Linked DNA regions of Mytilus edulis. The protein of the gene in region 2 purifies or fractionates together with the protein of the main gene of each other region. This does not show direct contact. Links are inferred from orthologs where the notes say so. Each region holds a gene or a part of one and is shown on either strand. Other genes may lie near its edges.

Evidence for each region. Proteins that work in one complex are often made in the same cells at the same time.
Region 1: the proteins of E3 ubiquitin-protein ligase HECTD1-like (region 2) and coatomer subunit alpha-like purify together in Homo sapiens (affinity purification with mass spectrometry, with the first as the bait; 3 studies listed by BioGRID). This does not show direct contact. The link is inferred for Mytilus edulis from reciprocal best matches to the Homo sapiens genes HECTD1 and COPA.

What each region holds. Positions count from the first base shown.
Region 1 is NC_092345.1:20,017,769-20,021,527, forward strand, and holds the start of coatomer subunit alpha-like, read right to left. Parts: upstream 2,362-3,759; 5' UTR 2,238-2,361; coding exon 2,198-2,237; intron 1,134-2,197; coding exon 1,020-1,133; intron 1-1,019. UniProt on the Homo sapiens protein: The coatomer is a cytosolic protein complex that binds to dilysine motifs and reversibly associates with Golgi non-clathrin-coated vesicles, which further mediate biosynthetic protein transport from the ER, via the Golgi up to the trans Golgi network.
Region 2 is NC_092346.1:80,551,528-80,555,286, forward strand, and holds the start of E3 ubiquitin-protein ligase HECTD1-like, read right to left. Parts: upstream 2,751-3,759; 5' UTR 2,322-2,750; coding exon 2,182-2,321; intron 850-2,181; coding exon 615-849; intron 1-614. UniProt on the Homo sapiens protein: E3 ubiquitin-protein ligase which accepts ubiquitin from an E2 ubiquitin-conjugating enzyme in the form of a thioester and then directly transfers the ubiquitin to targeted substrates.

The sequences.
Region 1 (3,759 bases), on a different chromosome or scaffold from region 2:
TTAATGTTATTGTCTGGATATAGAAGTCTGAAGAGTCTTTTTTTCTCCATTGTAAATTCATATATTAAATCCTCATACTATCTATGTATAAAACTGAAGGAAGAGTCTTTTTCTATGATGGATCTACACCAGACTGCCTGTGCCAAGATTTCTTAGCACCATCAGGTAATGTTGCAGAACATGTAGGACCAACAATAAAGTCATTGTCAGCTTCTGTTTGGTTTTGTAACAAACTGTAGCAGTGTACTGTTTACCTTACGACGTTTGACAGGAATTGACATTTTTTAGCATAAAGATTTCTCATTTTTATGACCTAAACGTTTTATAATATTTAAATGGCCTCATCCAAGCTGGACATCGAGAAAGTAAAATTTCTCAAGTCGTATCAGCTTGGGGTTTGTTTTGCTAATCATATCCTCTCAAATTGTTATCAAATGGAAGAATTTCTGACTAAATTATAAGTTCGAATAGGGGATAATTAATATTTAAAAGACTTGGTCATTTTCGGGGTTCGTATGGATAGTAAACCCTGCAAATAATTTGTAACAAACCCCTGTGTTTGATCGTTTTTAAAATGATCGTTTGTTCAAAGTTCGTAAAACAAGTTTGTGAGTGACGTCAGGAAATGCGGTCAATTCATTTCATCACATTTCATTCATATATGCCTCTATATTTTCTTTAAATTAAAAAAATCGATGTCAATGTTGAAATCTGTATTCTGAAATCTTTGTTTATTTTGATCTTCCAAAAACGCCATTTTTGTAAAATTTATTAGACTGGTCCTGTGAAGTTACTTTAATACAACGGAAATAATTCATTCAAAAATCGTAAACCAGTCGATCACGTGATCCGAAGTGAAAAATAAGCGGGAAATTTGAAAAAAATATAGCGACGCCGTTGCGTTGGATAGCGCTGCGGTCAGTGCAATAGGACAGCGGGGAATTGCAATAGCGCTGAAAAGTGCTGTGCTAAAACGGCCTGGGGAGAACACTGGTACTATAAAAGGTATAATGTATTACCATCATGTTCATCAAACTTGTCGATCAATGTACACATTCTGTAGTCCCATAACTGGATAACACCATTGAATAAACTTGTCAGCACCCATGGTCTCTTAGGATGAAAAGTAAGACCTGAAATAGCAAACATACAGTTTCAACTAAGTGTGATATCAACAGCCTTAAACATCAATACGTACATTGTAGGAATAGGTAACAAAAAAAACATTTAGCACAATGACAATGATACATAAACTAACAAACAGATGAGATTACCCATAGTCATTTAGATTCTGAAAAGGCGAAATTTCACACATGTAAATATTTTTTTAATGAGCACCATATTGAATGACTTAATTAGTACTTGCGTGATGGGTCTTAAACCCTTTGCATTTCAATGATGTAGATGTAGGTTTTGTATCAAACCATCATAAAATCTACGAGAAGAACACAACCTGTATCATGCCAACAACTGGTTTTAGAATATGTGTTTATTTCTGAGGCAAAGACCCTATGAGTGCGGTAGGTCTTTTTTAGCACTGAACACCATCAAACATGGCAGCCTTTTTTTAAATTTGATTCTCAACTTTAATAATAAAATCACTAAAAATGCACATAAAAATATGAAAAAACATGAGAAATGGGAATAATATTACATAATTTAATTGATTTGTTTTGTGAAACATTACTGTTTTCCTTAAAGTTTAGTGGTCTTTTGGAGTGTTCGGTGGTGGTAGGCGGTGTGCAGTGATGTTCGGTGGTGAAAAGACAAACCCCTATTAGTGAATCAATATTTATAATATATCAAAATATACCATCTTTAAATTATGACCTGCAACAGTATTGATATTTGATAAGACAACATATTCATTGTGTATATTGATATTTTCAAAGCACATAAATAAAATACATTAGTGATTTTAATTTACAAAAGCGAATAATTTATAAGAGAGATTACCCCAGGTGTCATCAAGAAAAAAGATTGAAGATCATATTTCGTTTAATAAATGGGTCAAATTTTCTAAATAGTCCACGTATGCAGACAATGTGTAATCATCGGATGTCGATGATATATAATTTGTAAGATAGAAAAATATGCCTGTGTCTATGATTTTATGAAGTTTTGTCACATTTTAAAGCGTCTACACCTTGTAACTGGAAAATAAAGCCTTTTGGACAAAAAAAATGCTTTCATTCACCTTTCACTCTTGCAGATTTGGTTTCAAATTTCGTCAACATAATGCCATAAGATGATTCTGTTACTCGTAAATAACTATAATTTGTGTACAACCGGCAGAATTTCCACTATGGCAGTTCCACGTAAAACCGGAAGTTACTGTTTTGACTGGTTCCCTGACCGAGTAAATTGACGGTAAGGGAGCAATCATTTCACCTCAGGCTCTGAAGAGGCTCTTGGTGGGAAATCTTTTATAACTTTATTATCGCATTATTAGCGACCAGCGAACAACAATAATAAATATCACCGCAGAATAAATATATGTACAGCAAAATAAAAAATACCATAATAAAGTAATTAAGCAAAAAAAAAAAATAATATGAAATGCTCTCTATTTTTAAGAATATGTGATTTTTTTAATGTTCCAGGTGGAATCCATATCGCTGGGTTTTATTCACCAGTTTTGTATATTTTTGGCAGTTTTTTCCTTGATAAGTGTATATATTTAGTGTTCTAATCAACTCATTCATCCAAATCATGTTAAGCAGTAAGGATTACTCTTGCTATATCTATTAAACATAAACTTTAAACAATCCAAACTCGGCAGTAAGGATATCCCTTGCTACATTGGACCGCCACTTCAAGACAAAATCAGTAAGGATTTCCCTTGCTACATTTTACATGCAACTTAACCGATCAGTAAGGATCTCCCTTGCTACATTGGACCAACACAACAGAAACAATCAGTAAGGATTTCCCTTGCTACATTGTACATACTGATAAAACCTCATAACAACAACAATCAGTAAGGATCTCCCTTGCTATATTAGTTACAACATGAAGTATACACTGTTACTTTTCCTAGCCAGCTCATTAGCCCTGCATATCATAAATGCACATACAGGGTCAACAAAACAAAATCTAGTCAACTTGCTAAACCCGAAATTACATCATAGCGGAAGAAGGCCAATATCATTACCAATACATGCAAGGCAAAACTTAACAACAGCACTGCTCATCATACTACTATCAGGTGACATTGAATCAAATCCAGGTCCAAAAACAGCAAACGTCTTCCCATGTGGTTTGTGTGAAAGACCCGTTACATGGTCAACAGAGGGAGTATGTTGCGATTGTTGCAGCATATGGCACCACCGCTCATGCATCGAACTGTGCACGACAGATTACGAACTTCTACAAAGATCAAACGTGCAATGGATGTGCTGCAAATGTGACAGCCTAAATGTATCCTCATTCACTTACCATGCATACGAGATTGAAAACATAAGCTATTACGAACCTCTAACAACAGATCTCAGCTTTATGGACACCTTTTCTTCATCATTTAGTCCACTTGTAACAAGTAGTCCAAAAGACAAATCAATTACCAAAAATCGGTCAGTTGCAAACAGTACAAGAAACAGCATAAAGGACACAACACCACCACCCTTTAACATCACCAATAAAAGAAACCTCAGAATCATGACGGTAAACTGTAGAAGCATCAAAGATAAAACCTCAGAATTCAAAACAACATTACACTGAAAATCTAAATTAGTCAATTTGACCAATTTAATTAGTCAT
Region 2 (3,759 bases):
CTCCAATTTTATTATGTACAACAATGTAATCATTGTATTTAAGTTTAGTTATCACATTTAATCAAGGCTTATTGTCTAAAATAAACAACAGGACTTATTCAAATCTCTGAAGAAAGGGATTTAAAACAGATGCTTCATAATCAGGGTCTATCACAGCATAACATGAAAAAATACTCAACAGTAAATTACAAATGTAACAAAAATACAATGTCACTCATCACAGTTACATATGCATATTTTCACTTAATTCATTGGATTTGGCAAGAATGAAATACTTCAAAAGCTTAACTTACAACTTTTTTTTTTAACATAATGATATCAAGACATTTTAAACACTTATTGCACTGATTTACCTACATGTACAGTACATGTAACATTATCTAAAGAAGACCTTATAATTCTAATTCTAGGACGGATTTATCAAGTCTGACTGTAACATTGTAATTCCAAGGGTACCTGTTAAACTTCATACATGTACAATGTGGTTATAAGGAATTTCAAATACAATTGATATAAAATTAAAAGGGATCAGACTTGGCAAAAACCATTTATAAATAATGTAAATTTAAACATGGTGAAAAACATGGGTGATTTTCATAAGCATTTACATGTACCTTTATACATTGTTCAGACAAATCTCTACTGGTCCTTGATGACATTTCAACAATCACCAGTCTATTGCATAAAGCTTTAATAGCGCCATCTACAGCAACAATACGTCTGGTGCACTCTGCCGATACATCTAAGTAGTAAGTAATGGCCCTTGCTGTCACCTCAAGCACGTTGTCTGGAGCACATTCATCCAAGAAGATACGACATAAAGCTGGGAGAAATGTCCTTGGTGGACAGCTGAAAAAAAAAACAGTTTCTTAAAAACATGTACATGTACATGTTAACACAGAATTATAGAGTTAAAACTTTAATAGACCTGTCCTTCAAAAGATGTCTGATTTTCTAGACATAAGGCCACACCAATTTGATTTGTAGTGCTTTCGACAAATGCTCCAAAAAATATATGGCAAGCAAGCAAAATTTGTTTGATTGTAATTTATTTTTGTTTGACCAATGAGTTTCTTTAAGGCGACTGCTCTACAAGCATGACAAGTGAAGAGAGCAGCAATACTGCAATATACTTTTTTTTAAATTGTGCGAGTAAGAATTTATGTCCATGTTAAAACTGTGTTACTTCATAGAAAAACAAGGAGAAGCGTGCTAAATTGCATATAGTTATATTTACTAGTGCCTGTACCACAACTGACTTTCCTGTCTTGCTGTGGTTTAGTTAATTTTGATTGTACATGTACATGTAACCCTTTTCACTTTGAATTATTTTTCCTCAATTCAAATTTATTTTCCACTGTATATCCGATTTCAGGGATTGATCAGAATATATTTCAGCCATGATGAGAACATTGACAATTTTTAGGGTATCTAAAATGTACATGTACATGTATTTGAAAGTTTAAGTACCTGGACATGTACATTGTATGAAATTTCTTAAGCCTTATCAGAATGCCACTACTTCATGTACTTTCGCTTTCAACTTCCAACTGCAGCATTACACATAAGCTTCCAAACTTTGTTTTATTTCTGTCACAGTGACTCAATTCATTTAATTCAATTCAAAGCTTTAGTTATAGTTGGCATGATACATAACAAATAAACAGAGAGCTTTTATAACCGACATATCCATACATTTACATAATAATCATACACAATACTAATAATAAAACATAAAAGACATAGAACATACATTTCATGCACATTGACATGTAGTTCTACATGTGACAATATATTCAGTTTGGTTATAATATATGTTATACATGTACATGTTACAGTGTTATCCCCAGATATTTCATGTAGCATCCTGGGTAACAGGGGAAATCGAAACACCATCATGTATCTAAAAAATATAGAATCACACCCATAACACAACCTATAAGACAGTCTTCACGCTGAACTGCTAAATCTACAGGCCTACAGCTCAATTTTTGAAATTTTTTTAGTTAGATTCTGTTGGCCTGTAGGTCTGATTTTTACAGGCCTGAGAGCAATTTTACCAGCCTGGGCTGCCACTCGTCGTGAAGACTGATAAGATAACCATTGCAGATATTATCACATAACCATGATATGAAAAGGTCCTGGGGAGAACACTGCATGAATAAATTATATAAATTTTACCTTTCAAATACTCTGTCAACATTGTCAGACATCAACAACAGCATACACAGTTGTTCTAGGGCAATCTGTTGCATATCTCTTTCGTCTCCCTGTCCCATTTGCAGCCATTCTAACAACGTCTCTGGGTCAAAGTCTGCCATTGTGTCTGGGGGTCTGGTCTGGCTTACCTTTGTCTAAACTTAGTTTAGACCTCTAAGGTTGAAACCCCAGCAGGGTAACCCCCTTTTTTGGTAAGTTCAGATAAATAACTTTACTCCAACCTATCACGTTTATGAGTACAATAAGTGACACGGAAATTCTTTGTGACTAATGAATGAGCACTCGAAAGTGCATGCATTCGACGCAAGGAAATTATCCGATCATACAGCTTGAAACCTTCGGACTTTCTTCCGTGTCAAATGACTGAACACATGGACTGGAACAAACTCTTGTGTCCTTTTACAGAAATTTCAAAACATTTCCACTAAGCTATCTACTACTTTAGTTATTAAAAGAAACAAAGGAAGGCACTTTTGTTTTGCTCTTCACCTTCATAAACTATTTATAGCCTCGTTGTGATCGCAACATCCGGTTCATAATCTAAACACCGGAAATGGCTAAAAAGTTAATTTCCCGCGGATTATAATTTAATCTTTGCTTTGTAAACAAACAAATAAAAGCTTCCTAAAATAATTGTACTTCATCATTTTTCAACATTTCTCTTTACTTTTTTTACAACATATCCACTTTTAAAAAAAAACACGAGAAAATTGTATTTAAATTCAGCATTTTTTTGTCACCATGTGAAAAACTTGAATGTTTTAAATGGATTACGGACACTTGGTGGTCTATTCAAATCATTTGTTAGTTTTGACTTTTCCACCCTCTACAGAAATAAAGAAAAAACGTTAATTTTTTTCTCATGGACAACATTTTAATATACATGTACTTTCGACAATATTATTGACAAGTTGTTGGCTTTCCTACAATGAGGGGGGATAAGACCTTTATCGGGACTCCGGGATCGGGTGTTTTTAAGCTCGGGATTTCGGGAGTTACTACTTCGGGATCCGGGAATTTTTTTTTTCAAATTTCGGGATCCGGGATTTAACTTTATTTAAATTCGGGACCTCGGCATTTCGTGTTTTTAAGCCCGGGATTTCGGGATCAGGACCCCTCCTACCCCCCCCCCCCCCCCCCCCTATAATGGGCACAAATTGCAACCCTTTCATGGTATCGGGTCAGTTCGCCCAAATAACATGTTCGTCCTGGGTCCGTTTGCTCTGAGTTCGTTCGCCCTACTTAAAAAAAAATAAACCAGGGTATTGGAGTTGATATTCAGATAATTATATGGTTTATATTCTTGAAATTTATGAAAACATGGAAATATTTAAAAGTTGTTGGCTAGTTTAGGATAATTTTAATTAACTAATTGTTCAATGACTTGATAATTCTCACTGATTGTTGTGATACTTGTCTTTTGATGGATTAATAATAACAACAGAGACATATATATGTAAAATTGAGAAAGGAAATGGTGAATATGTCAAAGCGACAACCACCCGACCATAGAGCAAACAACAGCCGAAGGCAACCAAT